Rhinolophus ferrumequinum: one gene and its partners. The protein of the gene in region 1 purifies or fractionates together with the protein of each later gene. This does not show direct contact. Links are inferred from orthologs where the notes say so. Each region holds a gene or a part of one and is shown on either strand. Other genes may lie near its edges. The genes, in order: PPP2CA, PPFIA3, CEP43 and CCT4.

Region 1 (7,510 bases):
GAAGGCAGAAGAATAGGCTCTATTGAAATGCTTTGTGAGGAGGCCATGTGAGAAGGCCACAGGAGAGGTGAAACTTCTTTTCACAAGAAAGTGGGGCCCTTGCGTAATATTCCAGAGAGTAGTGGAACACTGAACAGAACTGTTGGCTGCGTGTGCTTTGGGCCTGTGATTCCCTTAAGAGGTACTTGGTCACGTTTACTCAGACATTCTGAAGATTTTCTTTTCACGATTATAAAAGCAGTATGTTTTCATTACAGATGAATCAAGTAACTAAAAAGAAAATAAAAAACCAATCCCACTCGCCAGAAGCAACTGACGTTTAATACCTCTCATAAACATATATTTATAATACATATTTAATAAAATTAGGATTATAGCACACATGCTGTTTGACAAGGGACTTTTTTTCACTTAATAATATACTGTGAATAATATTGTCACTAAATATACTTCTATGGTAAGATTTTGGATAGGTGCAAAGTTGGTGACAGTATTTTTAAGGTTTACCTAGCCTTCTGGAATGATGAACTTTGCCTTCCATTCCAGAGAGTTTTGTGTTTTTTTTCCTGTAGTAGAGAAAAATATTTCCTCTGTAACTGAGAATGGTATCTGGATGTCAAGGACATTAGCAGGGGACGTGGTCATTTCTCTTTTTCTTTAAACTGCAGTCGCTAGGGGAAAGGGCTGTAGTATGTCTATGGCAAGTTCCTGGCCACAAAATTTTGGCCACACTTATAAAGTTCTAATTCCAGGTGAAAGGACAAAAAAGTTGAATTTTTCTGAAAATCCCAACAGAGAGCAACAGGGATAGATATCAATGAGTTGCAAACACCATCGTGTATCCTGAGTGCAGAAATCTTCTGGTAGTTAAGCAGGTCTAGTTGGCCAGATTAGGGCAGGTTTCTCATGGGCCAAGCCACTAAAATGTTGATTGCTCAGGTCTTTATTTTGGGACGTCTGAGGCATAGAAGGCCTAGATGCGAAGAGCATGTTAGCAGATATGGCACCCTTTCAGATACAGATTCTGAGCTGACAGGAGCATAAAACCGACGAGCTGTATTAATTCTTGCATTTATTCCTCAGTGATTTTCTCTCTACATAATAAGCCTTCTAAATGTTTGCTTGATGGCAAGGGAAGAGAGGGGTTTTCTTTTTTATCTACCTCTACTTCTCTTTGTTTGAATTTCCTCCCTCATTTCTACTTCACCCAATGGCTTTGTGTCTATATGATGTTTTTGATACCGTTACTTTCTGTTTCCAAAAACCACTACGTATTTCATGGCAGGCATCAAGGGGCTCTAACTGGCATTAGGATATTTAGAATCAGAGACCACTTAGAAATAAAAAGAATATTACCTAATACCTACTGGACATTTATTATATACCATATGGTGTTTTACATTTATAACTTCATTGAATTCTCAGAAGAATCCTATTATTTGGCTGTTACAATTATCCCCACTTTATAGATGAGAAAACTGAGACTCAGAAAAGTTAGGTAACTTGCCAAACTTCACACACTGAGGCAGTTGCAGAACCAGAATTCAAACCAGGTCGATCTGATTCCAGAGCGGCTTCTTACCTACACAGTTCTCCCTTCTGTCTCAGTAAGTTTAGAATTCAGGGAACTGGAAGGAACAAAACAAACCTAACAGAAGACCGAGAGAGAATGGCTGATAAGATACATCGCATTCCTTCATCATGTTTAATGTTAATTTTAATCTGTTGGCTTAGAGCGCCTATTATAAAGTTATTTGCTCAAGTTTATCTTCTTCCCACCCCACCCCATCAGATGATTTTTATTTAGAGCTATGTTTGAACATCATAGGCGACTCGCTGTATACTGAACTTGCCATCTGAGCAAAGACTCTTTCTCAAAGCATAGTTGCTTCATTCACTCTCTGGTTTTTGCCAAGAAATTAAAAGGAAAATTTTTTTTGGTTTAACTTTTTGTTCCAAGTATTCCTCAGCTCTAGAATTGAGACGGTCAGGTCCAATTAGTCAAGACCAGACTAATCACACTGAATTTTCAGATCCATTAGCTGTTTTGAGTTCCACAGAATCAGAAAACATTCTAGATTTCTTCTAAAGGAAAAGACATTCTGATTTAGTTCTATGTTGTTTATAATCATGTATGCTTTACTTCACTGCTTGAATGCTAGTAAGGCTTCCTAGAATTCATTGCTTAAGAAGTCATGGCATCTGATTATTTGGCAGGATGTTTTAAGTATATATAATTATGTCTTCTCTCCATTTTGTGATGGTAGTAAACCAAGTAATCGGCATCAAGAGAAAATAAATAATACCTACATTAATGCGAGCAGCAAGGAGCTCACAGCACCTTGGAAAAACCCACTCATTACAATCTTAGTACATAGAAGGTGCTCAATAGTTTTTAATATACCAAAGTCACATCACCTCCACCTTTGTAGATAAAAGAACTCAGGTAAAGGAAATCATATTGACCCTATTCCATATTTCAATCCTTGTGTGAGCGAGGCTGAGATCTTGCACTTGAGAATATGAAGATTTAAATCCTGATGACTACTTTGGGCAAGTCCTTTCTCTTTTCTGAGTGCCTGTCTGCTTCTTGCCCTATGAGACAGAACCAGTTCTCACAAAGGTACAGGACAACCTGAAGAATAAGATAGCCCACTGGACCTGGCTTTATAATCGTGGGCACCGAGTGATGACTTTTTTCCTCATTCATTCTACATGGTATTAACTCTTACTCCTCTATTATTTAGGGACACTAACTACAAAACGTGGCCAGATTTTCAGCGAACAGAACACTTCCCAGTCTAGTAAATTAACTATATTATAAGCCTTTGGAGAGTAGATCTAAGGTACTTTCTTGGGCATACATACTCCTGGGAGGTACAAAAGGAAAGCAGAATTGCAATTTGCAGCCTGGGAAGGCTAAGCCAGTCAGCCTGGCCAGGCAGGTCGTCTTTGCTGACGGAAAATTTTCAGTCCCTCCATTGGTTGGTCTGGGCTTCTAGGGCCTTCTCCTTCAGAGCTGCAGTGAGCTCCCTCCTCCAGGACATCATTGAGCACTTGGGTGGAACAGGGTCCACTGCTATTGGGGATAGGAAGTCTGGAAGACAGGACACCAGGGTCAACGCTTGCCTTGGGCTGTAAGGTTAAATGTCCTTTGCTAAGCTTCGCTCAGATCCTGTGGACACCGTAATCTCTCTTCTATCTATCTGCAGACCATTTTAAGAGTATTGTTGGGAGAATACAAGTTCCACCAGGGCATGGACTCCTCTCTTAGGCGTGGGATCTAGCATATAGCTAGCCCTTTACGGAGCCAAATATAGAGGGTGCCAAAAAAAAGTATACACATTTTAAGAAAGAAAAAAACTATTAAAATTATAAATAATATATACCAATAACAAAAGATAAATACAAGTCATGAATACACTTTTTAAGCACCCCTGGTATTTCTGTGAGTGCAGGAACAATGGAATGTGAAAACATATGGCAAACCTCAAGGAGATCCATAGCCAGACCAAAGTCGGACCGCAAAGTATCCAAGAATACTTTAAAGCACAGATCGTAGCTGTTTCTAACACCACCACTTGCCGTCAGGACCTATGCGTCCAGATATCTCCTTATCGCCTTCCTCTAGAAAGCAGACTAGGGCGTGCAGTTGTGTTGTGTGTGTGTGTGTGTGTGTGTGTGTGTGTGTGTGTGTCTAGAGACGGGGAGAGTGTCTCTCATTCCCAGGAGAAACCGGACTCTGAGGAGGGGCGCACACCTGTGGCGGAAGGCGACAACGGGCGAGGCTGCAAAGGGCGTGTGGAAAGTAGGTGAGGTCCAAGGTCGAGAGAGAAGCCCAAGCCTCGGCCCTGCCATCGCGCCCGACGAGACACCTAGGCCCGAGACGGGTGTGTGCCGCGGGAGTCAGATGCACGTGTGGCACTCCCCCCGGGAGGTACACCCTCCTCCGCCTACTAGTGACCTAATTACAAGGTGCCACCCAGAGACGGAGGTGGCATCCAACTGGGCTACCACTCGGCGCCCTTTCCCGCCGTCACAGATGCCAGAATCCTATGCAATTTCAGCGCTGTTGCACCATGGAGGAATTGTGGGGTCGCAATTCTCATTTCCGTGAACTGGTCGCCGTCGCCGGGTGAAGAGCCGCAAGGCAGCACCTTTGGGAAAAAGTCTCTGGCAGCTGGGAGTTCTGCTCCCGTCTGGACTGCGCCTGCGCCAGGACTGCGCCTGCGCCAGGTTCGCGCCCACACCGCGTAGGACACCGTGCTCTGGGATTAGCCCAGTTCCAGGCTGCGAGCCCCGCGCTTGCTGGGACTCGGTCTCCCTTCCCCCGGACCTCACCCTTCTGGAGGACCACGCCCTAAAAGCGAAGGTGCCTGTTACTAGCCGGCTCCATTGCGCCTGCGTCTTGGGCCCTGGTCCCGCCCCGACTCCGGTCTGGCGGCCGACTAGCGTTGGCTCTGCAGTTGCGCAGCTCGTTCGGTCTCTCTGCTACCCCTCCGCACCCCGCCGCCTCCTGACGCCGGGCGTGACGTCACCACGCCGGCGGCCGCCATTACAGAGAGCTGAGCTCCGGTGCTAGAGCGAGCGGAGGAGGGTAGCGGCCGGTGGCTGAGCACTGCGGGGCGAGCAAACAAGCTAGCGCTAACGCCGAGCAACCTCCAGTAGCCACACAAGTACCCCGGGAACCGGCGGCGGCGTGTGCGTGTGGCCCGTGTGCGGGCGGCGGCGCGGGAGTAGCGCGGAGCGGCAGCCGGTTCGGGCGGGTGGCATCATGGACGAGAAGGTGTTCACCAAGGAGCTGGACCAGTGGATCGAGCAGCTGAACGAGTGCAAGCAGCTCTCCGAGTCCCAGGTCAAGAGCCTCTGCGAGAAGGTGAGCTGCACTTCGGCTGCGGGAGCGGCCGCGGTTGAGCCCGCCAGGAAAGAGGCGGCCGTGGGAAGGGTGCAACATGGCGGAGGCCGCCGGCCCGGGCCCCCTGAGCCTCCCAGACCTGCGTCCGGCTTGGTGCGGCCCCGCGGCGATTCCCGGGCGACCCGGCGCCCCCTGCCTCCCGCGCAGGGATTGGATGTCGCCGCCACTGCCGCCTAAAATGGCGCCGTTCACCCAACTCCGGGGCTTCGGAGCCTCCCGGCCTAGGTGTCGGGCGGGGTGCTGTGGGAACTGAGACCCTGTGTGTCAGGGTTGGGGACGGTTTTGAGAGCCGAGTAAGAGGACTTGGGTTCTACGGCCTGGGAATGGGGCTTGAGACTCTACTGTGAGGTGGCTAAGAGGCCTTTTACTTGTGTTCGGGACGAATTTTCAGCTCCAAAACTATCTAGAGGATCCCCCAAAAGGCAAGCAAGCTTGTAGGCCAGATCCCAGGACCTGTCTAAAGGTCATACAGCATTAGTACTATCCTGGGTGGTTGGGGCTAAACACACTGAGCAGTCTTTTCCAGAGACTTTTTTTAAAGCGTGTTTCTTAAGAATTTAAAAATAAACCTCTAACCTAATGTCTACGAAGGTCATGGTAAAATATAGGGAGGAGTAGAACTTATTTTTCATAGTTGGAAGAAATGGAGAATTTGGTGAGTCATACATACTGCCTAAGGAGTTTGGGGATTGGAAATCAAGTGTCAGTTTAGTCTCTGATTTATATGCTGACTCAAGTTGGGTAGTGTGAAACCCTTCTCTAAGCTTGGCATTTTGCCATTTATTTTTTAAATGCAACAAAACCAGCAAATTTTGTATCCTGGCTCTTCCTTGGAAAAGTTACTCGTTTGTATTTTTGTGGCTTTAAGTAGTAATAGTATTAATAATAATAGCTGTCTATTGAGCCTTTCCTGTATCCGAGACTTTGTGCTTAGTGTTTAAATAATTTATCTCCCGTGTTGAAAATGGAATCTTGTAGTCCATTTAATAAGTCCATTTTAATTTCCGTTTTCAAAATTAACTTGGAAGCATTTAATTTTTAGTACAGGATTGTGGGATATCGTATTAGAATTTTGTATTAGTAAAGAGAGTTATTAGCAACTATGCTGACTCGTTTGTGGTTAGATGTGAAAATTAGGTTCATGGGTTTGGTGTATATGCTCCTAAAACAGGCTTTTTCGGAAACTATACTGTAGATTGCAATGTGACTCAAACTCACATTTATTTATCCCAAGCCTGAACAAAACTCGCCTAGTTGATGAGGTGGCACATTATCTATTAAAGCTTCGTTGTAATGGTAGCAATATGTTGAGTCTTGTGCTTCTTGACCCTTAATTCTACTGTGTCAAATGAGGATAGTGTTTATTTTAAAGGTTCAGAAATAGGCTTTAAAAAATTATTCAGTGTATATTATTAGGTCTTAGGTGCTTTACATGAAGACTTTGAGTCATTCGTTGGGTAGGTGACTAGTCATTTGTGTAGAAAATATTGGAAGAGAAGTAATGATGTAATTGGAAGACTGACTGCAAGTTCCACCTGTACACTAGAATTCTGCCACAGTAATTGACCTTGGAGCAACCACTTCACTTGGTCCACATTTTCTTGTCTATAATAATAGAGTTAAAACAGAAATCTGTTCCAGGGTCTCTTCTAATCTGAAATTATACAATTCCATTTTAAATTTGTACTTTGTGTTTGTATTGAAATCCAAGGTTGCTTACTCTTATGAGGGGAATGGAAAGCAGCACAGAATAATTTTCTCAAGGAGCCTGAATCTAGTTGGAGACCAGTAGATGGACCACAGTAGTGTAGAGGGTTTGTATTGGAGACTATAGAAGATAATATTGCATGGTAATTTGGATTGGCTGAAGCTTGGTGCATCTGGTAAAAATGTTCATTGTTTTCCACGTCTTTGAAAAATTAAGATGTAGTGAGATTAATCAATTTATTCTTGGATCTCCATTGTTAATCCAGCGTGTCTGGATTTCAGTTTTTAGAGCCAAAAAGATGGAAGTAAGATTGGAAGTTAGGTTTCCAAGAAATGGATCCTTTTGGGGGGGATATCACACAGCCTTCATACTTTTTTTAACTCATGAATATTTCAACTTTTGGTATTAATCTCCCAAACTAAATTAATTTGAAGGCAGTTTTTTAGGTATGTGGGATGAGTTAGCATACATGACTTGAAATTATCTTTTCTACAAGTCTTTCTAGTAAAACAAAAGTTCTCTTTTCACTGTTAATATTTGTATGGTCAGTAACACATCTGGTGAAAGCTACATATTTTGAAAATCTCGATGGGAAATTTTTTTTTCATTAGTACAATAGTTCTTTTTTAAAAGAAAAGGTACTGGTTGGAAATAGCTATTTGGTAATAATTGATAATTTCTTTGATTATGAGAAAGAAGGAAGATTTTAAAACCTTCCTTCTGTATACCTGAAAATGCCTGATCTGAATGAAATATTTAAACAGTAATGATTGAAGCATAAGAGGTCATTGTGATTAAAAAATGCAGAGGCCACTATTGTGGTGGTTCATCAACAATTAACGGGTAAATGTTCAAAATGCAGGGAATCCAAGTGTGTACTTACAGAC
Region 2 (7,685 bases), on another chromosome or scaffold:
TAGATTTTTCAGCAACTTCTGGCGGAGGCTTAGAATCACAGAGCAAATGTCCTAGGGTCTCATGGGAAGCAAAGGTCCCTTCCATCTGGAAGGCAACATCTCCCAAGATCCCCCAGGGTAGCACAGGCTTAGAACCCCAGAGAAGGTGCTCCAGGGTCTCCTGGGAGATGGATTCCTGTTTGGGAGCTATTGCGGTGGTGGAGCACATTTCCCAACAGGCCCCAGAGCCATTCAGGCTTAAAATGTGAGGTGAAGGCCCTAGCGCTCACTAAATGATGAGAACTACAGTACTCACTCTTTTGTCTCATCCAGGGCCTTTGAGAATCCATGCCCTACATTTCCCAGCAGCCCCTGGGACATGGGAGTTAGGATCAAGGGGCCTAAACCAGGATGGGTTGAAATGCAGACAAAGGAATTCAATTTAGAGGCACAAGAGAATTTCTCAATGATAACATAACTATGATCACTTATGAATGCCTATCATGTATGTGCCACATGCCACCCTCTGACAAAGATCACAAGTCCCATTTTACAGGTGAGGAAACAGGCTCAGAGAGGAGAGAAGAATCTATAGTTTGTGGACTAAATGCAGCTTCCACCATTCATGAGCTCTGTGACTTTGGCCAAAGGGGCAGGGGAGGATGGGGGCAGAGGGGTACCGACAGCAGCCCACTAGGGGCCCTGGCCTCACCTCCTTGAGGTCGCGCTGGAGCTTGGCGTTAGCTTCCTCCGCCTTACCCAGCTCCCGGTGGGCGGTGCCCAGCTCCTCCTCCAGCTGGCTCATCTGGCGGCACAACACCGCCAGGCGCTCCCGCAGCTGGCACACCTCTGCACGCTGCCGCTCCAGGGCCTCCTCCAGCTCCGCTGTGCGCCGGTTAGAATCCCCGCCAGGACCCAGGCCATTGGCAAGGGTCTGGAGTGGAGACAGTGGGAAAGAAAGGGACAGAACACAGAAGGGGTAAACACAGAGGTATAGAGGGAATGCAAGGAGAAAGTTGATGGGGGTGGAGAGTGAATCACAGATCAGTAAGGGTCATGGAGGTCACAGAAGTTAATCAGGGACCTGAATCAAAGGTCAAAGGCCAGTAAGGTCTTAGGAGTTCAGATATTCTAAGGTCTGTGAGGATAATATCAAAATTAAAATGACCATCACAAAGTTAGAGGGCTGAGTGGAGGTCACAAGGATGGGGATCAATGAAGAGCAAGGGGAACAAAGGATTTTCACTTCTTACCTGTCCGTCCCCATCCTTGCCAGGCTCCTCCAGCCCTGACCGGCGTCTAGACAGCTGCTCTCGAAGGCTCAGAGTCTGGGAATGAAAAAGGGATATCAGGACAAAAGGAAAATTAGTTCTATTTCCCATTGGCACCAGCTCTCTAAGGAGAGGTCATAGACACTTCCAGTCCTGCTGGGGCCACCCCCACCCTACAGTCTACCCTTAGACCCTGTGCTCTCCTTATATCTCTCCTTACCTGCCTAACAGGAAGCGTGCCCAGCCTTACTCTTGCACTTAGCCTCCTGGTGGAGATGTCCTCTTCTATCCTGACTTTCCCCATCCAACCATTTCCTTCGGAGTGGGTTCTTTCTGTTATCCCCGGCCCATGGTTCTCACTTTAAACTCACTTTCAATGGGCAGTTCTCCTCTTGGCCCTGCCCAGTGAGTTCCTCCTTAGGGACCCCACTGGTTCTCTTCATAGTCCAACTCTATTGGCCTTTTGCTCTAGTTCTGCCTCCAACAGATTCTGGAACCCCAAATCAGCTCCACCTCATTGGGAACTCCTTAGACCCTCCCTCCCTCCCTTTCTTGGCCATGTCCCACCTCCTGGTTGCTCAGCTCCAACTCCTCCTCTAGCACTGCCACCCGCTCCAGTGCCATCCGCAGCCGCTCCCGGACCTGGGAATGGGGCAGAACAGGAATGAGATGGAGATCAAATCCAATCTAGGACAGCTGACAATGATGCAGAACACTCTTGGAAGGGCCTGATAGTGCAACGTTAGGATTCTTCTATCCATAATGGATGTGCAGCCCCAACCCGCTACCAAAGCTGCCCCACCCACTTGTAGCCCCCATCCTAGTTAATTTTTCCATTATCAACCAGTAAAGTCCCAGTCTGCATAGCCTGTCCCAGTCAATCACAGGCAACATTCTTCCCACTTAGGACATCCCCAACCAATCACAGCCAGACTCTCTCCAATTCAGGACAGCACCAACAACCCACGGGTTTCCATTCTTCACCCAGGCTCTTCCATTCTCATACCTTCTCATCCAGGGCCTTGTGGTGCTCGAAGAGGGACTTTAGAGCCTTGAGCACCTCCACCTCGGAAGAGACCCCGCCAGGGGACTGGGCTTGGCGTTTCACCACGGTCATGCGTAGTGACCTCTCGTGCCTGGACACCAGACACTCCAGGTGTTCCAAGAGAAGCTACAGAGATAGGGCACCAGGCCAAAGAAAAGAGGCAAGGGAAGAGAAGCAGGGTAGAAGAAAAAGGTGGTTCCGACAGGAGGGGCGGACACATGGAGAAAGAGGGGGAGCCAAGCAAAGGGGTAAAGAGCGAAACAGGTCAAGAAAACAGGGATATCAGAGGTACCGGTGGGGTCAAGGAAGGAGTAGAGTGGTATAGGAAAAGAGACCGTTATGGAGGAGAGAGGGAAGAGGACATGAAGGAAGGAGGAGACCAGAAGGGATCAACCAAGAAGTGGGGACAAGGAGGAGAAGACAAGAAGGTGAGATGCGGAAAAAAGATGGATCAGGCTGCATCACCTGAGGCCCCGCCCACCCCACTTAGGCCCCGACCCCAACACCCCTCACCCTCGTGTTGTTCCTCTCCGCTTTCAGCTCTGCAATCTCTTCCTCCCGCTCCAGCAGCTGCTCCCGACATAAATTCAGCTCCTTCGTCAGAGCCGCAAACTCCTGTCCAGATGTGAACAGGATAGGGACAATCAGATCAATCCTCCCCCTATCTCCCTCACTGCCCAGGACTGGGAGTTTGAAGGCCCCGCCCTCTCGACTAAACCCCGCCCCCTCTAGCAGCTCAGACCCCGCCCGTCATCGGCAAAGCCAGCCTCCCCGACTCCGCCCTTCCGCGCCAAGTCCCGCCCCTCCGAACGGCCTTCTTGTCGAGACCCCGCCTGCCGCAGGCCCCGCCCCGGCCCCGGCCCCGCCCAGACCTGGGGCAGCGCGATGCTGAGCTGGCGCTGCAGCGAGTCCTTCTCGTGGCCCAGCTCGCGCAGCCGCAGCTGCGCTGTAGCCAGCCCATCCTGCGCCTCGCGCAGCGTCTCCAGCAGGCGCTCGCGCTCCGTGAGCATCGTGACCATGAGGCGCTCCAGCTCGCCGCCCGTTTCGTCCGGGCCCAGCGCAGAGCCCCGCCGGCCATCCTCGCTGATGGTGGGCATCACCTCGCACATCATGGCGGCGGTGCTGGCCTGCAGGTGCGGGGAAGGGGCAGGGAACAGAGACCGGCCTTGTCAAGGGACAGGCAGAGAAAATGCGGCACGACCACTGTGATATTACTTAGAGGAAACTGAAGCAGGTCCACCCTGGCATTGCGCAGACGAAACTAAGGCCTGTCCATTCTGATCATGGCACAGGATAAACTGAAACCCTTTGCTTTCAGGAAACTAGGCCTGGCTACCTGTGTGAGAGCATTTGGGGAAACCGAGGTCAGACTCCATCAGGCACTGGCAACAAATCTAGGCCCAGCCTAGTCCAAGAAACCGAAACCGGATGATCCAGGCATTGCCTGAGTGAATGTGGAAAAATTAGTCTCTACCTGTTTTGGCCCTGCTGAGAATCAACCCACTGCATGAATGAGAAAACTGAGCCCCAGCGGAGAACCATGACTACAGGAGGACACAGGACTGGGATTACGGAATTAGGTCACTGGCACGCGGTTACCTGCTCTCCAGCCCAACTCCTCCCTCCTTCCATTTCTCATCTGGACCTCAGTTCCAGAAGAATCTAAAGACCCACTCCACTTGCAGGGGGTGGAGGGAAGCGTGGTCGGATCAGGGCATTTTAGCCATCTCCTATGACCCAGGTGTCCAGGAGGATCCAGTTCCTCCTTCCTCGGGTCACAGAATTCTAGGTCCTGGAGTCCCCTTCTTCTCCCAGACTCAGGAGTCTGAGCCTCCAGCCCCCTCCTTCCCAATCCCAGGAGTCTCGAGACCACACTCCCTCCTCCCCCGGGGACATGAGTCTGGGCTTTCAACCTCTAACTGTAGACCTAGAAATCCCAGACTTCAGACCTCTCCTGTCCCAGAACCCAGGAGTCCAGGACTCCAGGACCCAGGAGTCTGCATACACGAGCTGTGGACAGAGATGAAGTGAGGTGCCCTGAGCCGCTCCCTTGCACACATCAAGTCAGACAGGTCCAGCTGGCCCAGCCGAAAGCAGGAGGGGCTTTCACGCTGTTCCCTCCTTTCCGTCTCTCCCTTCTGGCAGCAGCATAACCGGTTCTGAGAGTAGATAATTCCCAGCCCCACCCAATGTGTGGACTGTGTCCAGAGCCTGGGACTGGAGCCTTGGACTCCTGTGAGGAGAGGAGGGGACTGAGGGCCCCAGGACCTGGGAGAGGAGGCAGCTGTGTCCCTTGGGTCTTTGAACAGGTGCATTTGGGAATCTAGATACCTGAATCCTAACACTCAGAGGCCAGATTCAGGAAAATGTTTAGAAGAGAGCAGGCCAGCTGTAGTTCCCACAACAACATTGTATCTAAAACCCAGAACCTACTCAGGAGATGCAACACAGGCTCTTTTGGGAGGCTGCTCTAGAACTTCAAATTCACTGAGAAGGAAACAAAACACAACAAGGCAGGGCAAAAATCTAGAAAGCCACTGGCATGTAGACACAGTACAGAGTGGAAAAAGGACATACGCTTCCACATTTACAATGTGCTTGGGGTAAAAGCTGCACATAGGGCATATTCTAGAACCCAGGTCTGGAACATTGAACCAGCCAAGAACAATCAATAACTTAAAGAGCATCTGGGTGACCCCAGAATTATATTTAAGAACATACCTAATGAAATGCTCAATGAGCCAAGTCAGGAGACAATCTAGAACTCAGAACCTACTACGGATGAAAATATAACACAGAATATAGCAAAGGTTGCATCCTTGGTTTAATCATGTGTCTAGATAATGTTAGAACTCAGAATGCAGAAGATGTTCTCTAGAATTCAAAACATGCCTTGGAGGCGAAGAAAAACCTAGAAAGTATCAAGGAGTTTGCCTGGAACTCAGACATGCCTGGGGGAAGATGCAGAAAGATGCATGCTGGGAATTGAAAATTTACTGTTATAAGGACTGAGCTGGCAAAAGCGAGGTGGGGTATTCTGGAAATGAGGACATTTCTAGGCTGAAGACTCCAGAAGAGCAGAGAGCTTAGAGCATGCTTAGAATGCTCAAATGGCAGATGGAGGAGGAAGCACACAGTCCACCAGGAGACAAGTTCTGAACTAACATCACCCTAAGGAAAAGATGGGCAGAGAAAGTGGGAATGGATGGGCCTAGGGTCTAGACCTGAGGAAGGGAGTTGTAAGGTAGAGCACTTCAATGGGAATCTTCTAGATTTAAGACTGTAGAACGGAATGGAACCTAAAGTGGGAAAGTGTATTCTAGAACTGATAGCACAATTTGGAGAAAGACTACAGCACATATTTGGAAGATACACATTCTAGAACTTAGAATGCCTCTGGGAAGAGAATGGAGTCTAGAACAATGCCGAGGATGTGGCTGGAACCTAGAACACACCTAAAACGAAAATTTAGCAGAGAATAAACAAGGACTGGTACTAAAACTTGGGAACATATCTGAGAAGATGGTAGGATTTGAATTTGGCTTGGTGGGGGATTATCTAGATATTTGAATTCATTTGGGGAAAGACATGCCTAGAATTTACCATCTAACCTAGAACTTCAAACATGCCTTGGGTGAGGACAGAACCGAGATGTTGACTGAGAGTGTTTCAGGATCTAGAAAGAATCCAGAATGTGGAGCATTGCAAGGACAATGTTTAACCAGAAATGTGGAAGACAGTGGGTAGATTCTAGGTCATCGAATGAGCCTAGGTCACAGAATACATTTTGAGGAAGGCATGTATGTTTGGCTCAAGCCTGAGAGAGTGTACTCAGAGGATGGGACATCACGATATGGGCCTCAGAAGGCAATGAGGTGCTGGAAAGATCTCAAGAAGCCGGGTCTGAGGGGAGAGAATAGAGTCCCAGGGAGCCCAGCAGCTGAGATGAAATAGGGATGAAACGGGTTTGTCAAGGCCACCAGAAATGTCAAGTTGATGGAGGGATTGTGAGGCCGTGGCGACCTGGGTTCCTAAGATTAAGAGCTGAGGAACTAGATACGTGGGTGGGGGGAGGGCAGAACTGGGGGCCTGGACTCCTGAATCCTTGTGGAGGTAAAGGACAGGGGGTTGGGAAGGAGAGCTGGGGCATATGGCCTCGGTAAAGGATGGTGGCCAGTACAGAAGCTGAGATCTGAACGCCTGGGTGCCTGAGGGGATTCAGGACTGGGGACAAGGTATTTAGGTCTCCAGGGGGAAGGGCGGGCAGATGCCAAAGAATTGCATTAAGAATTGCATCCTGAGTCCCTGAAAGGGAGAGAGTCATGGCGCCTGAATCCCTAACGGGGCAGATGCTGGGGTCCTAGGAAGCTGGGTATATTTGTCTGAGGGGCACAGGGGCTGTTGAACTCTAAAGGGGGCAAAGGCTGGGAATCTGGATACCCTGATGCCAAGGTCCCTAAGGTGGACGGGGCAGGAACATTCAGAAGCCCTGACTCCTCAGGAAGGTGCTGGGGTCCCGGAAACCTGGGGTGCTGAGGAGGAGGCTGAGAGCCTGGCCAGCGGGACCCTGAGGCCCAGGCACTCAGGTCGGCGAGGGCCCGGGTATCCCCGGGTCAAAGGCGCTGCGGGGGGGATCCCCGCGCCGCCGGCGCCCCCTCTCCTGTGGCGGCAGCAGGAGGTGGGGGAAGCGAGGCTGCCGAGTACTCTGACCATGGACAGCTCCAGAGCCGGCCTGTGTCCAGGGCGGCCGCGGAGCCGGCCTGGACTGAGGGACGCGGCCGGCTGCTCAAGCCAGAGGGCTGAAGATGGGCAGACGGGGTGCGCGAATGGGGGACTATGCGGACGCGACGGGGGACGGCTAGCCCTCGCCGAGGGAGTGTGACACAGCCGCGGCGGGTGTCTGGAGCTCCCGGGACTGGGCTGAGGAGGAGGATCTAGGTCCAGAGGGGTTCCCAGGGTTGAATTGAAATCCAGGCTCCTGGGCCCTGGAAGAAGCGCAAGGAGGCAGTACGCCTGGGATTCTAGGGTTCGGCTGGGGACTCTGAGAGCCGGGATGGGCACGCCTGACTCTCTGGGGTTGGGCTGTGAAATCTGGGCTCTGAGGTCCCCCGGTATGAAGAAGGGAACCTAGGATCTCGGAGATGTGGGGAAAACTCGGCGAGGGGTCCCCGGGGTGGGCGCTGCCAGGCAGGCCGGGCCGGGCTCTTACCTGCCTGGTCCGCGGCGGCTGCGGGCGGAGCTGGGCTGCAGGAGGGACGTGGGGTGGGGTGGGGGGACCGGGCGGGGCCCCTGGCGGCGGCCGGGGCCCGGATCTGTAGCTCCGGAGCCCTGTCTCCGCCGCTCGCGCGGGCTCCGCGTCTCTTGCTCCGGCTTGGGCGCTGGGGACCCCC
Region 3 (7,916 bases), on another chromosome or scaffold:
CAAATGTCCATCAACAATTTGTGAATGACTAGATAAACTGTCATAGATTCATACAATGGAATACTACACAGGAATCAAATGGAATGAACTACTCCTCATACAAATGACAGTATGAGTCCATCTCAAATGCATTATGCTGAATGAAAGCAGCCAGACCAAAAACAAAAAGGAAAAACGTCCGGATTGTGTGATTCCATTTGCACAGCTTTGAGGAACACTTGGGTGCCAGAGTTGGAGGTGGAGGTGGAGGTATTACCAAGGGGCTGGAAGAAATTTTTGCGGGTCATGGATATGTTCACCATCTTGACTGTGCCATGGGTGCGTAAGTATGTTATAATGTATCAAATTGTACATTTTAAGTATGCTGAGTTTACTGTAGGTCAAGTGTACCTCAATCAAGTTTTAAGAAAACCCAAAAAAGATAAGGGGAAAGATCACAAAGGTCCTCAGTAGGCTGGTCCAGGAAATTTGAAGACATTGGGTCAACTGAAATATTTGAAGAAAACGGAGGGGCAAGATCAAACGTGAGTTAGGACTAGCCAGTCTAGGAGCGATGTGGAGGAAAGACGTCAGGACTACCAGTGAAGGAGAGAAGGCAGGGGTCAAGTGATTTGGAAAGATCAAGCGCAGGCCAGGAGGTCAGCAGAGAACCTCCTCAGACACCTCAGGTACAGAACTGACAGACATGTGGAAAGAAGAGCAAGGGCTCTCGGATTTCCAACTTGGATAAGTGACGGTCCCCGTAGGCAAACAGTGTGACCTACAGTCGGCAGCTCAGGAGGGCGATAAGGCCCAGAGATACAGGGCTGAGTTACTGAGGTGGTCAAGGTCACCCAGGCAGAGAACCCAGACAGGGACTGTGGATACTGCACCAAGAATTCAAGTGCGGTGTCCAGGAAAAGGTCATGCTGCAAAAACCAAGGAATGCACAAAGGAAAAAGAAAGAGAAAAAAGTCCCAAAATTCAAAGATTTTCAGGAAGGAAGAAGGAATTAAGAATGTCAAATGCCACAAAGAGCCACTAAGATAGGTAAGAACATATACTCACTTAGGATTCTTCTTGACAGCAGCAAAAGAAAGTACTAAGGTGTAGCATAAGACGTTAATGGATTAAAAGGTGCCTGGAATATAAATCGTATAAGACATACACATTCTTTCAAAACTTGACAGTGGGGGGAAAAAAGTGGTATTAAAAGCAGAACATGAGACGAGGGCAACAGCTTTCTCCTTGAGATATAAACTTGTTTCCACGCTCAAAAGAGCCAACAAAGAGGGAGGAGCCGAGAGTACCAGCACGGCAAACCCAGAGAAAGTGATGATTCTTGGTGAAGAAAGAGCCTCCGATAGCAAGCAGGAAGGAAAGAAGTGCAGCGTGCAGACGCAGGGTAGCTGGAGGACACACACAGTGAGGGCTTGACGCCTGAGGCTTCTGTTTCCCTGCAAGGGAGAGACAAGACCCGCTGTCAAGATGAAGAAGGGGGTCGGGCAGAAGGCTATGGTGAGGCTGGAGTGGGAGCTGCTACGCAGACAGCAGAGGCCTGGGCCTGACAGGGCCCTGCTCAGGTTGCAACCACCGTTCAGTGACACCAGCAATCCACAGGCTTGGGTGACAAACAAGAAGGGAGTTAGTTTGTTGAATTAAGTGACCAATGAGATTTACCAAGTATAGCGGGAAGGCCAGGCAGTCAGGCTTCTGGAGATCTGGACCATGGGGTCCAGACCAGTCAGGGCCGAACGGCAGCCAAGAGAGGACTGATGCTTGGATGAACACCCAAGAGCCAAGAGCTGAAGAGGTTCATGAGGTTAGAGAGGCACAGGCATCTAGGTCTGAAGAAGTGACAGGAGAGGAGGCTGATTTGTCACAGAACAAGCTGAAGACCTTCATTATGGAGTGCGTATGTGGACAAGGATCCAGGACCTTTACTCAGGGTGGTGGTGAGACTTGCAGTAGGGAGAAAAGACTAAACACTTAAATACAGAGAGGAGGCTGGACTTGTGACAGCAAGAAAGATGACATGATTTTAAAATAACTAGGTGGTCTTGACAGTTTGGGGAAAACCGGCATACTGTGTTTCCCCCAGCTGGTGGGGATTCACAATGCATAGGAAAGGTTCTGAGGAGTCCTGCAGTAAACTCTGAGAATAGAAGCATTTCTTCCACTAGCTCCCATGACCTTGTGTTTCAGATGTCCCCAATACAAGAGGATCTATGACACTTAAGATTCAGATTGGCCTCAGGAGTACTGTGGTTCCTTAACTTTCCTCAGATTGTCCCAAAGTTCTGAAATATACACAAAAAGGTTAATGTTCACTCTATTGTAAAGAAACGTAATCCTTAATAGTTCAAAATGATCCCTGCGTGCCCACGACCACGTGTAGTATTTTACAATGGATTTTAAGTAGAAACGACACAAAAATGAACATAGTCATATTAAAATTCGTAGATTTCATACCTCTACTTTTTCTTGTTCCTCTAGTGCCAAAAACACAGCTGCTCGGAGTTCAGCCTTTAAAAAAAGGGGGGGAGAGTTGGGGGGTAATGGAACAGAAACTGCTTCGAGACAATTTTCAGGACAAGAAAAGCATAGGACGTTCAGTTCCACTGGCACCACCCACACCATCTGAAGTCAAAAACGCACACTGGCAAGACAATGCTTAGTGGGCAGGTGCAAAGAGGCCAGAAAAGCCCCCAGAGGCGTTGGAACAGTGCCCCAAGCTCTCCGCGCCCCTTGGCCTTGTCCCTCCGCAGCCACCCTCCGGATTAGCCCAGCCTACGAGCCCCGACAGGTCTGAGCTGGACTCGCCGAGAAACACCCCGCCAGGCCGGCAGCCCGCCAGTTACAGCGACCCGGAGGGAACCCCGCCACCGCCCGGGACTCGAGGAGCGCCGGGCGACTCAACCGCCCGCAAGCCGCTGCTCGGCCTCCTCTCCCGCAGGCGCCGCGCGGCCCGGGGTCTCCCTGGGAGTGACCCTCGACCCCCGAGGTCGCCCGCCCCCGCCCACGGGCCCGGACCCTGCCCGGGAGGCCAGCCTGACGCACCCCGCGTCCCTTTGTGACGCCAACCGTCCACACATGCTCCACGGCCCGCAGGCGCGGCCGGCCTCCCCTCCGCCAGGCCCTGCCGGCCCGGTCTCCCGCCCCACCTTGATGCGATTCAGGACCCCGCTGTTCTCCAGCGTCTGCACCAGCAGGTCCCGCAGCTCGGTGTCCTCCTCCGCCACCACCGCAGCCGCCGTCGCCGCCATCTTGCTTCTCCAAGACAACCGGCCAAGCCGCGCCAACGGCCAACGGCCGCCGCAGATTTCTCGCGGCGTGCGGCAACGCGAACGAGACCACGCCCCGGCGCCGGTGCGCAGCCCCTCACGCCAGGGGCGGGGCCTCGGAGCGCAACCTGACGCCGGGGGCGGGGCCTAGGGCGGGGCGTCAGGGGCGGGGCTGTGGCATGGATCGGGTAGGGCGGGGCCGGGGTTTGGGGCGGAGCGAGGCCCTGGGTCCTTGGCTTGGGGGCGGGGGGACCCGGGAACTTGGAGTGAGGCAGTGGGATGGGGGCGGGGCCACTTGGTTAAAAGTAAGTTACGTTTCAGACAAGTAAGTTGATAGCACAGCCTTTGTCGTTTCCTTCCCTGCCTTGTCCTGTTTCCCCACTACCCCACCGGTGTTTCTTGGGATCTCCTCCCAAAAAACTGTTTACACTCAATTGTTGTCTCTTGGTCTGCTTCTGGGGCACTCAAACCAAGCCCCTTATCCCAGACTTAGTCATGTAAAGCAGGTCTGTGGGGACAGAGCCAGGAGTGCAGTTTCCAGGCTCTCGGCCTCACGTGGAAAGGTGCTCACTAGGGTAGTAAATGGCCATCAACTGTGATTGGATGGCCGTCAGCTGTGCCTGGTTGGCCGTCAGCTGTAACCAATGAGCAATTGGCCATTAATATAACTGCAGTGGCTACGCTAGCAGCAAATGGGGGCTGGCAAGAAGGTGGTGGCTGAGCTAGCAAGCGTGGATTGCAGTTAGCAAGTGGGGTTGGTTGGTTGACAGAGAAGTGTATGGCAGATTGCGGATAGTGTGGCTCCTGCTTCCTGTGTTTCCAACCCAGCCACCAGCGAGACTATAGTGGTATGACACCCCTATCTATGGCTCCATGGGTGTTCCTTTTAGGCCTCACCACATCCTGCGTTCTTGTGCGGGGAACGGGACAGGAGACCCCCACCTAACACCCTGCACGACCAAGGGACAGGGATGGCTTTTTGGAGGACAGGACACTTGACGTGAGATACACAATCGTAGTGGGGGGTTTACTGATGCCTGAAAAAGAAAGGGGCATTCTGCGCAGACAGAGCCTAACAGCCCAGAGCACCAAGGCCAAGAGGCACAGGGCAGTGTGCTCTGTGCAGGGATGGCAAGTGGGCTGGAGACAGGAAGTCAATGGATCAGCAAGGGCATTAGCCACTGATACTATGAGTTTGACTTTCATCTTGAAGGTGTGAAATAGCAAGCTAAACATGGTTTGAAAAGGAATGTGACATTAGCTCATTTGGGTTTTAGAAGCATCCAGAAGCAAGAGGGGAGGGGTGAGTTGGATGCAGTGACACTGGAGACAGTTGAACAATCCAGGAGCCCAGTGGGGAGAAAGACGGGCCTGGACTCCACTCGAAAAGGAAGGTTAATCGCCTATCAGGAATGCTAAAGAAAATTTGTTGTGTAGATTCTGTCGCTTATCAGGAATTCTACAGAAAATTTACTGTGCAGATTCTATTATTTCATCAGATTTCAAGGAGAAAGAGCTCACTAATTTCTTGGCATATGGAATAGCTGTAAATTCCTTGAACCTATTACCACATGCATGTAATAAAAGAAATAATAAAATTACATTTTTTTTTTTTAAGAAAGGAATGTAAGTTCCTAAAAGTCAGTCGGAGACTGCAGCATACTTCTTCTGTGACACTGTTACTACTCAGTACGGTCGTATGTATACAGAGGACCATCAATGAACAGCTGTCATTTAGCATCTACAATGAGCCATAATTTAAGCTCCATGCAGTAAATCATTAAACTTTATCTGCATGATAACCATGAACATTGTAGATGATGATATGATGAGCCAGCTGAGACTCAGAAAGGTTTGTCTAAGATCAAAAAGTTACTCAGAAAATGATGCAGCTCATTTCCTACGAGTTGAAATACTGAAATCCGGGAAAGAGAGGAACTTTTCCTAATATTCTAAACAATGAAAAGGTAAGTGTTATGTAAGCAGCGTAAACATGCTAAGTAATGAAAAGCGAACCTCCTGCCAGAGTAAAAGGACCTCGTAGGGAGGGTTGGGGGGGGCAGGGTGGGGCTCAGTGAAAGGAACAAGGAGTGAGTGAGTGGGGGCGGGGGTGAGGGAGTGATGGCGGTGGAAGGGACGCTTGATTCTTTTTTTTATTGGAAACACGTGGGATTTTCTTTATTAAATAGTCACACTTGATTCTTATTTGACTTTTTCTAGGTCTGCAACTAGAGCTCCTCTGTCAGCTAAACTACAATTCTCTATTTCATTTCTTTTAGCAGCTTTAGAAGATAACTTTCCAAGTCACTATGGTATTAATTATTTCAATTACTGCTTCATCAAAAGAGTTAATGTACCTCTTTACTCCTGGGGAGTGGCTTATATAATGAGGGAATTTGCCCTAAAATACATGCGTTTTTCCTATCATAAAATTAATAAAGTAAATTAATAAAGCTCTGTCTGAAAACATCCATTTCCTTGAGGAATTTAAGGCTGCAGATGTCGCCATCTATATAGTCGTAAACATGGGACTTTTAATATTGTTGCTTAAAATTTTTAATAATTGAAGGAAAACATACTATTACATTTAAAGAATATCCCAAATAAGCCTTAAATTAAGAAGGAAGAAATGGGAAATGCATCACTGGTTGGCTTGGCAGTTAAGACAGCTATTAACTTATTAATTTTCATATCTCACCAAAATTGATGGTTTAAGGTTAAAACGATGAAAAAAAATGCCCTTAAATGTGATACTAATTATGTGCTTCACATTTAGCTTGTTCTTATTTTTACCAATTTGGTCTCCATATTTTATGTTAGAACATTATAAAGAAGGAACAACTGCACAGTTGACGATTTTATGTTATTTAATTCACTTCCTCATCCCAGCTATTCTACATGATGCTCTTTTTTTCACAGCTTTATTGAGAAATAATTCAAATATATGTTCATCCATTTAAAGTGTACAATGATTTTGGTAGTTACGGAAATGTGTAGCATCATCACATTGTAGTTGTAGGATAGTTACGTGCCCCTAAAAGGAACCCCATACTCACTGGCATTCACTCTGCACCCCACTCCGCAGCCCTAGGCAAACATGACTCTACTTGAGGTCTCTGTAATTTTGCCTATCTGGTCAATTTCTATACACGGAATCATATAACGTGGTCTTTTGTGACCTGCTTCTCTCACGTAGCCTAATGTATTCAAGGTTCATCCATGTTGTAGCCTGTGTCCCTACTGCATTTCCTACCAACGATTAATGTTTTACTACCAATATTGGGTAATAGTCCATTGAATGGATGAACGCCTGTGGGGACAGAGTCCCAGAGAGCAGTTTCCAGGCCCTCGACCTCACGTGGAAAGGTGCTGGCTCGGGTAGTAGAGGCCATCAGCTGTGATCAGATGGCCATCAGCTGTAACCAGTTAGCCATTGGCCACTGATTCAACTGCCGTGGCTATGCTAGCAAGTGCGGATTGCAGCTAGCAAGTGGGGTTAGCAAGCACGGATGGCAGATTGCGGATCCTGTTGATCCTACTTCCTGTGTCTTGCCTGGGCCTGGCTGCCAGTGAGACTGGGGTGCAGGAAGACCCCCTGTTGGGGTACTGGCGGATGTTTACTTTTGTATCTCTACCAGCTGCCATTGAGAATATAGTGGTATGACCCCTATCTGTGGCTCCGTGGGTGTTCCTTTTTGGCCTCACCATATTCTCTGTCCACCTGCCGAGGGCTGGACCAGAGACCCTGTATTACAACGCTGTTTGTTTATTCATCAGATGATGGATATTTGCCTTGTTTCCTAGTTTGGGCTGTCAAGAACAATGCTGCTATGAAAACTCGTATACAAGCTTTTGTGTGAACATATACTTATTCAGCATATTTCAGATTGACACCTAAAATTAAAGACAACTTGCCTTTAAAAAAAAAAAAAAAGAGGAAGGACCTGGACTTATGCTGCAGCGATGGTGCAGAGAAGAGAATGGATCTGAGCTACAAATGTGCTACAGGGACCAACTCTGCAACCAGACTCTGACAGGGAGCGCAGGAGGCCAGAGCAGGGGAAATGCCTTTGACTTCCCAGTCGCACATTTTTGGCCTAGACAGTCCCTGTGTCTTTAACAGTCAAACATAGAAAAGGTGTACTGAACCACGGTGGTAGCCTTTCAGTGTGAACTTAGGAATATCCATGCTTTCTCTCTTGAGGTCAGCCATCCTGTGTGTGTCAGGGTCGGGATAGTTTACATAGAGGTGGAGAATGATTAAGGTGCTCAATGGCCTATGTGTTTCCATAAATGTTTTATAGTTTGTGCAAAAGCCAGCAGCATGCTGGGGAAGGAGAAGAAGCCTGCGTCTCTCCCATTGGAATAGTTATCACACTTACTGAAATTGCTTAGCTCATCATTTGAACAAGGACTTGATACCAGGTTTTGTGTAGCGGTTACAGAAGGAACTTTTGAGCCCCACGACACAGGTTCAAATTCACTTCTGGTGGTGTTGACTGTAGCAAGTTCCTTAATCTCTCTGTGCCCCAGTTTCCCATTTGTAAACGGGGTAAAAATCTCCCCGTGCAGGTAGTTAGAATGATAGAATGATTGCTATACGTAGGTAGAACTGAATGTCTGAAGCACAGAACATACAATAAGTATTAACTG
Region 4 (8,140 bases), on another chromosome or scaffold:
AATTGTATGACACATATTTCACGTTTTGGTTAAAGTCACTATACACAGCATTCATGCTCTGCCTCTGGCAGAATAAACTCTTGAGGATTTATCTAATTTTCCTTTAAATATCAAAATGATACAGTCTAGCTCTGATTGTGGACTCTAGTCTTTTCTCCATTCTTTAAAATAAGACAAGCAACAATAGGACAGGCTAGCCCTCTTACTATATAATTAACTTGTTTACTCTGTCTCCCTAACTATAGAGTATAATTTCTTAGGGCAAAGACTTTTGTTCACTAATGTGAAGCTGATATGTAGATCGCCCACAGTAAGAAACAACCTTTGATCCTCACCTGCAAAAAATAAAAAACCCAAATGTTAACAAAAAAAAAAAACAAAACTAAAATCATAGCTTTCAGTCATTTATCAGTATGTTATGAAACATCTCTGGATATAGTCTACCATTCCAAAGTTACTTATTCTTATTATCTGACCATGAAAATGTTTCTACTTCATTTTCATTAGTCCACTGACTACTAAATGTTTCAATGGTCCACTTACTACTTTTTAAGAGAAACTAGAATTGATGAACAGTACTTGACCCCTTTTCTTTGACAAGTCCAGGACAAATAATTAAATCTTCCCCTTTCTCACATAACCATCTCATTCCATATACACAGGGGTGAGATTGTGCCCTAATCGTTTTTGTGTGCTCCACAAACTAGCATAATGATTTTCCCCATATTGTGTGGTCGATGATATATAATCTTACAGAGCTAAAGAGAAAATATTTGGTAAAACTTAAAAATTGTTTCCTACTTATTTCACAGTTAGGGGCTGTTCCTAATTACCCAATCAATATTATTACCCTTGCAGGCAATTTTAGTGGACCCCCATGGCCATGATTCTACAAGCACACTAATATACTTTAAAAACGCCCTTATATTCATCTATATGTAAACTCTAGATACACCATCCAAAACAAAAGATTTTAGACTGCTTACATCTCTGAAAGTGGCACATAGTATATTGTCTGTTGAACGATTCATACTGAACAGTACTAGAACTACTACTATTTTGTGTGTGTGGTTTTTCACATCATCAATTAATGGTACTATTAACTTTTCTGGTAACACCCAAATAAAAAACTGGTTCCCCAAATTAAACTAACTATGCACATGGCAGCAGTTTTTCTCCATCAGTTTGTAGGGTTTTGTCTAACTTGGAAAGACTAGTTGTGTCCCTTTGCTCTATGAGCTCTGCTTACTTAAAAAGGTCAGGATTATAAGTAATTTAGGTGGCCTCTTCTTCCTACATGCATACCTCCCTTGTTCCAGTTTCAACTCTCTGTTCACTGCTGTTTCAAAGGTTACCAAAGTAAACCTTCCATTCTGTACCTTCCTTGTTTGTTGAAAATCTACCGTATTATATAGCTACCAAAATCTACCATATTATATAGCTATTTTGGCCCTCCAGAATTTATCTAACATCTTATTTCTAATGTGATATATCTAAGCTTCCACTATGTTTCCTAGATAACCATCTACCAAATCTTTACTAGCGGATATGTTCTCTCCTGAACTTGCAAATGACTCCTAAATCTACCCATCTGGTCATTCTGATCTCTCCAACTCATTAGGCCCAAATTAGAAACTATTCTCTTTTATTCCACCGTCATTTCTCCAGTGTACAGTAAGTCCTGACTTAATGTCATTGATAGGCTCCTGGAACTCTGGCCAAGAGACATAAAACCAATTTTACCACAGGCTAATTGAGAAAAACAAGTGTTAAGTTCCTAGGGCATCTTATCAACAATATAAAGAAACCACATTGAACAAAGACATTATTTGAGGACCTGCTGTATATGTATTTCTTTGGCATCATCATACCTTCAGTCACTTGGGCTGATAATCTCAAATGTTTGTAAGGCTGTATTTTATATATGCAGCTTTTCATATGCTTTTTTATTTAATCATCACAGAAACCCTGCAAATTAGCTATTACCTCATTCTACTGAAGAATGATCTGTAGCTGTGAGAGTTATGCCAAATCCTGTCCTGGACACCAGGCCCTACAAGATTGGACCCACCTTACCCTTCCAATCTCATCTGTCACTTCTTCATGCACCTTACTCTCTAACCCAAATGAAATACTCACCGTACTCAATACACATCAGAGACAAGATCTCGAAGCCTTTTCCTTCCAGACTCTAACTCAACTCGATTTCTCTTAATCCTCACAACTCTCAAAAAAAATAACAAACGTTTTCCTCCTCGATTTATAGTACAGGTAAGGACACCTTGGTTAGAAGTTAATGGTCACAGGCCAGTAAGCAATGGTAACAGAGAATGAAACTCGGGGTCTTGATTTCCACCAATGCCAAAGTGTTCTACAAAAAAAAAACCAAAACAGCAAACTGTCCATGTTTCTTGATTTGCTTGTGTTTGGTTGCACATGCAGCGGGCATAAAATGTATCGTCCCACCATTACTCTTAAACAAGACGGGTCTGTTCCCCACAACCGAAAACAGAGGGTCCCTCCCCAACTTAAGCATGAAGAGTATACCCAATTTGTTTCAATAGTTGTGCCGTGCTTGGCTTATTTTAGTGATATTTTTATAAGACCAAGAAAACTGTAAAGTCTTGTGCAAACGTTTTACCAGTGGAACCAGCAAGATAAGCGACAGCTCTAAACTGTCAGAACCCAAGGGACCGCGGCATGCGGGCCTTGGCTGCTGATGTGTGATGAGTGAGCGAGGGTGAAAAATTCTGAGCGTTTAAGACCCGGAGTAAGTCCACAGGCCTCCATACTCGGGGCCAGGAATTATCGGCAGAAAACAATAAGGTTCCCTCCACAGAGATGCTTCTACTGAAGGGCAGACAAGAGACGATCATCTGACGGAATAAAAAATGAGCCACGCCAACCCAGTAACAGGGTGAGAGCGCACAGCTCGACCCCGCAGGGTCGCGGGTCAGACCCGGGGAGCGATACCTTTGGCGGCAGAGATGTTGCTGAAGCGGATCTGGGCCGGCTTATCGCGGTCCTGATAGGCGCTTCTGCTGCGGCCGCCAGCAGCCCCGGCGGGCGCCCCGCCGCGAGGTGCCACGTTCTCGGGCATGGCAAGTTGGGCTGGGTCTGCGTGGGCTCCGGGAGGACGGATGGATGCGGATTCCGCCTGGCTTCGGAGTAACGGTTCGGGACCGACGATTTCACGAACCTTCCAGAAAGCAGCGCCGGCTCCGCGCGGAGGAGGCGGAGAAGGGGGCCTGCCTTGCGGCGCGGTGCCGGAATGACGTAGCAGGCTGCCCGCCGCGCGCCGGGTAAGGGGACTGAGCCGGGGAACTCGGGGTTCGCAAGGGATGGTGGCCCCGGGCGCTCGGGGTCCAGGGTCGGCACCGGGGTGGGGCGGACTCTTCCGAGGCAGATCGGACAACCCGCTATTTTAAAGGCGGGTTTCGGGACACCCACATCTCCCACTTCCTGGTCCTCGGCTGTGAGGTCCCTTGCGTTAACTCGAACTAAACGTGATTGCGGGGTGTGGTACGCTGCGTGTTCCTCCCGACCGCGTGGGGCTAAACCGCTGGCTGTTGCCCGTCCTCATGTACCTGTATCATACTCAGTTTTATTCATTTTGCAAGGGAATCAGGAGAGAGATTTGGGATGGGTGGTTTCTTTGCTTTAAGTGTTGGGGTTGTTTCCTGTTGATTGATACCGAGTTTGAATACACCCTCGTTAAATAGTAGAGAATTTTAAAAGTTTTAGAGCTATGATTGCCTGCCGAATCAGGACTGCCTCACTAGTTAGTACAATGCCCTCGCCTTAACACTATTTTATTCTAAATGACGTAGTCACTGGCTTTTAGAGAGCCTAAGTATTTTAATAATGATCATTCAGTTCAGCGCAGTGCTAAACCCTTGACACGTTTTAGCTCATTTAATCCTCACAAAAATATGAAATAGGTGCCCTTACCTTTTTCATAGTAGAGAAGACAACTGAAGGTCTTTGATTCCTTTTGTTCTTCCCTCTCTTCCCTCATGCAAAGCCTTTTTTTTTTAAATTTATTGGGGTGATAATTGTTAGTAAAATTACATAGATTTCAGGTGTACAATTCTGTATTACATCATCTATAAATCCCATTGTGTGTTCACCACCCAGAGTCAGTTCTCCTTCCATCACCATGTATTTGTCATCCAAAGCCTTCTAATTTTACCTCCTTTATATCAAGAATCCGTCTCATATTCTCTGTCCTTTAGATACCATAGCCTTAGATCAGACCCACGTCATTTGATTACTGTGACAGTCTAACTTTGGCCTCCCCTGCTCCTCCAGTTCCTTTGGCACACTGCTACCACAAAGGAATCTTAGAAACTCAAATCTGATGTTCTTACTCCCCTGCTTAAAACCCTTCAGTAACTCCTCAACGACCAAATATGAAAATTTGCATTATGTGTAAACTCTCCCTCTCTATGTATGACCCAAGCCCTGTTAATCTTTTCAGGTTTATAACCCTAGGCTCCTATTTCCATTCTTGCTACTGCAGGGCAGGAAAATATCTTTTTCCTTTTATCCTTCTAGGTTCTTGGCTGGGGCTCTGTAACAAAAGACATTATTAACAAGAAGAAAGCATACTGATTTGTTTAATAGAAGTTCTATGTGCCATTTGAACCTTAATAAGGAAATGAACACCTGAAAAAGTGATTAAATCTGAATTTTTTTTTTACTATATTTGATGAAGAGTGGAAAGTTGTGGGAAAATGTGGACAAAAGGCTGTGAGCTGAAGGTAATAAACTGGGGAAACAGCAAGGCTTGTTCAATTTAGATTCCTCTGGGCCTCCCACCGTCTTTGGAGACAGGAATGCTCTGGGAGGACACTTCACATGAGGGTCTTACCTGCTTCAGGTGAAAAGAGGGGCGTGGCAGTGTTCTTGTACCTATCGTTTCTCAAGTTCTGTTTCTCATATTTCTTCAAATATTCAACATGCCACAGGGTAGTGTGTCCTGAACCCCGTCCTTATACTATGGGTCTCACCACTCTTGTTTTATGCCTTTATACGTAGGGACATGCTGTTTCCCCTGCAACATGTCCAGCTGTTTGTTGGTTTGCAATCTGAGGAGCTTCCTGAGTGAAATCTGAAACCAGCACCGCACCCCTCTTCCCACAATCAGAGCAGAGAGAGACTGAAGAAAGAGGCAAACCACTCCAGATAGGTAGGTGGCAGTTTTAGTAAGCAAGGAAACTTATTTTTGCGCTTGTCTTGGGTCCTCACAAGATGAGTAGATCTTTGCACCTGCCCACCAGAATCTTAAAGTTTATATAGAAGCCTTAACTGGGCTCAGTCATGTATATCACCCAGGTGTTCTCAACATCTTAATCTCATGGCTGTGTCCTTGGATCTGCTCCTACTGTGGGAATGGTGGGCAAGGACATACTTGCTAAGGACAGGGGAAGGGGCTGAGGAGCCTCTGATTGCCTGGGTCCAGCTTGCAGGGTAACCAATGGTCATGTCCTCTCAAATTACCTCTTCCAACACGTCACCATTAGGCTTCTCCTTGACTTACTGAAGCTGAGTTAATGTTTTTCTTCCACCACCAAATCTGATATTAGTTATTTCTAAGTACTAAGTAGTAACAATCTTAGTTCATTGTATTTTAATAATTTGTTTATATAGAGGAGGAAAAAAGAATTTTCCCTCTACCCTTTTGAGTTCTTGTCTGGGACCCCCCTATAACAAAAGACTGATTAATGAGAAAAACAAACAAATTTATTAACATGTATACCCCATGTATACATGTGAGATACCCAGGGAAAAAGGAGTAACTCAAAACAGTGATTTAGAACTCCAATTTATGTACCATCTTCAGCCAAGGATGGAAGATAGGTGTCAGAAAGGCTAGTTATGGGGAGATAACCAGAAAAAGCAAGGTAAACAAGAGTAAGGTTTGTTATGCAGTTTTAAATTGGTATCTTTTTCATTAATAAGGGTTTAATGTTGTCTCCTGGGATTAACTTTTTTCTGTGGTAGACAGAGGAAGAGGGACACATTTTGAAAATTTATGTCCTGCTTTTAGGGCAAGCAGGGCCTGGAGCTTTTCTTGTATTTGTTTCTTCTCAGTTGCCTTCAGCTCAAAATAATCCTTATGCCAAATTGGCATATTTTAGGGTGGCATTTTCTGCTACCTTTCATTTGCATATAATTTTCCCTTACCAGAATGTAAGATTTTAGGGCACAGTGTCATATTCATTTCTGTATCCCCTGGAGCCTAGCAGAATGGCCCAAAACTCCCGACTAATATCTGTTAAGGAGCTGCTTGAGTGGAGAGTGAATGGTACTTAAAGTAGAATTGGAAAAGGTGGAGTAGAAATAGGGAACAGGGAGAATGTATTGCAAAACTTTGGGGCGCCTGTGTTTGCAAATTATTTCGGTACACATTTTAAGTTTTAGTGCTTTCAGAGATGGGGAACCTTATAAAAATACCTATTGCTGGCCTGGGAACAAATAGCTTGTGAGCCATGAAAGGGTAGTTGAATCGGGGAAGGTACCAGTTGTTTAATGGAACTTGAGAATGGAAACCTATTTGGCAAGAATGAAAAGGAAACCTGTTTACCGGGAGGGCTGCTATTGGGTGCTTGTAGTTTCTTCTTGAGCCAAGGCTTCAGGATGTTTTCTTTGCTTAAGCAATCCTTTCAATAGGCCTAGGCCCAGGTTTGTTGTCTGTGAAACAGGTTGTGTTTTGAGATTTAATAAAGTAAAGCTTTGTGCTTTGAGCCCCTTGTTTCAAAGGCATTGTAAAAATGCGGCTGGTACCAACCTTGAACATTTGCATTGGCAGTAGCAGCCCCTGGTGGCACAGGATGATTTTCTTTCATTGAACACCTCCGTGTTTTGGAACTTGCTGTAGGCTCAGGCAGGCAGTGATATGTGCATGTATTACATACATTGGAATAGGAGTTAAACAGTGGTAGTGATGTACAGATTGCTCCCCTGCTTTTAAAAGAGTAATCTATTTCTGTTGAGGATTAATTAGAGCTGCTCAAATGCTGAGAGGGAGTTCTTAGGCAAATGGAAAACTAGGAGGTTTATAGAAAGACTTCAGAAGGGTAAATTCATGCCTAGATATTGCAGGGTACATTTGGTGTATATTTGTGTTTTGAGGGGAAAGTAACTGAAGCTTCAATCAGATTCTGAAAGCTTCTATCAGATTCTGAAAATGTTATCAAAACGTTTAGGAAACACTATGTAAGGTGCCTAGCTCTTTTCAGTCATGTAGAACACATATGTTCCTTTAAAGCTTTTCATTAAAAGAAGTTTGATTTTAGGATAACTATCTTATCTTTTCATTACCTAACTTTTTATTACAATAGTATTACATGTACACTGTAGATATTTAGAAAAATCAGGTAAGCAGAAAGAAGAAAATATAAACCATCCTCAATTACTCAGAGGCATACTCTATAACCATGTTGGTGAATAACCTTTCAGACTTTTTCTATGCAGGTTGATAGATTCAACTATATAAACCCAAGGAAAATATTGCAATATAGGTGACAAACAATATTCCAAATGTATAAAGAGCTCTTAGAAATCGCTGAAGTGACTGAAAGCCCTGTAGAAAATTGTCAAGAAAATAGGTAAAAAATACAAGCAGTCAATAAATATATACATATAAAAGGATTCACTCTTAAAATGTAAGAAATACAAATTAAAACAATAAGATAATGTTTCTCATGTATCAGATGGCAAAGATTATAAAGAATAATACCAGTCAGTGTTAATAAGATTTCATGGAAATAAATGAATACAGCCTTTCTGGTGGGTAATTTGGAAGTCATGTGTTTAATAATGCTGTTTCCACTTATAACCCTTTTATTTTTCCATTACATCGACCATTCTCTGCAACTACTGTGGGCACACTGAACACAATGCATAGTTTATCTCAGATTCGCTTTTGGAGCCATAAAAGTATCTTTGAATTTGCCTTTTAGAAAATTAATTCCTTTAGGGAAAGAAGTGTGTTACATCTTTTCTATGATAAAGAATGCCTCTTGACTTCAGGCAAATACTGGATAAACATTAACTAAAGCAGTCTAGAGCATTGATTCTTTACAAAGTGGCACTACTTTGAAAGGGATATTTCAGTTCTCACAATAATGGGGAA

The links.
Region 2: the proteins of PPP2CA (region 1) and PPFIA3 purify together in Homo sapiens (affinity purification with mass spectrometry; 4 studies listed by BioGRID and IntAct, with this or other methods). This does not show direct contact. The link is inferred for Rhinolophus ferrumequinum from reciprocal best matches to the Homo sapiens genes PPP2CA and PPFIA3.
Region 3: the proteins of PPP2CA (region 1) and CEP43 purify together in Homo sapiens (affinity purification with mass spectrometry; 3 studies listed by BioGRID and IntAct, with this or other methods). This does not show direct contact. The link is inferred for Rhinolophus ferrumequinum from reciprocal best matches to the Homo sapiens genes PPP2CA and CEP43.
Region 4: the proteins of PPP2CA (region 1) and CCT4 purify together in Homo sapiens (affinity purification with mass spectrometry; 4 studies listed by BioGRID and IntAct, with this or other methods). This does not show direct contact. The link is inferred for Rhinolophus ferrumequinum from reciprocal best matches to the Homo sapiens genes PPP2CA and CCT4.

What each region holds. Positions count from the first base shown.
Region 1 is NC_046307.1:10,228,593-10,236,102, reverse strand, and holds the start of PPP2CA (serine/threonine-protein phosphatase 2A catalytic subunit alpha isoform), read left to right. Parts: upstream 1-4,314; 5' UTR 4,315-4,774; coding exon 4,775-4,876; intron 4,877-7,510. UniProt on the Homo sapiens protein: Catalytic subunit of protein phosphatase 2A (PP2A), a serine/threonine phosphatase involved in the regulation of a wide variety of enzymes, signal transduction pathways, and cellular events.
Region 2 is NC_046298.1:44,416,452-44,424,136, reverse strand, and holds the start of PPFIA3 (liprin-alpha-3), read right to left. Parts: upstream 3,441-7,685; 5' UTR 3,408-3,440; coding exon 3,168-3,407; intron 2,911-3,167; coding exon 2,809-2,910; intron 2,422-2,808; coding exon 2,257-2,421; intron 1,893-2,256; coding exon 1,818-1,892; intron 1,308-1,817; coding exon 1,233-1,307; intron 914-1,232; coding exon 692-913; intron 1-691. UniProt on the Homo sapiens protein: May regulate the disassembly of focal adhesions. May localize receptor-like tyrosine phosphatases type 2A at specific sites on the plasma membrane, possibly regulating their interaction with the extracellular environment and their association with substrates.
Region 3 is NW_022680354.1:1,061,854-1,069,769, reverse strand, and holds the start of CEP43 (centrosomal protein 43), read right to left. Parts: upstream 3,351-7,916; 5' UTR 3,246-3,350; coding exon 3,144-3,245; intron 2,506-3,143; coding exon 2,452-2,505; intron 1-2,451. UniProt on the Homo sapiens protein: Required for anchoring microtubules to the centrosomes. Required for ciliation.
Region 4 is NC_046296.1:27,349,733-27,357,872, reverse strand, and holds the start of CCT4 (T-complex protein 1 subunit delta), read right to left. Parts: upstream 3,256-8,140; 5' UTR 3,101-3,255; coding exon 2,974-3,100; intron 1-2,973. UniProt on the Homo sapiens protein: Component of the chaperonin-containing T-complex (TRiC), a molecular chaperone complex that assists the folding of actin, tubulin and other proteins upon ATP hydrolysis.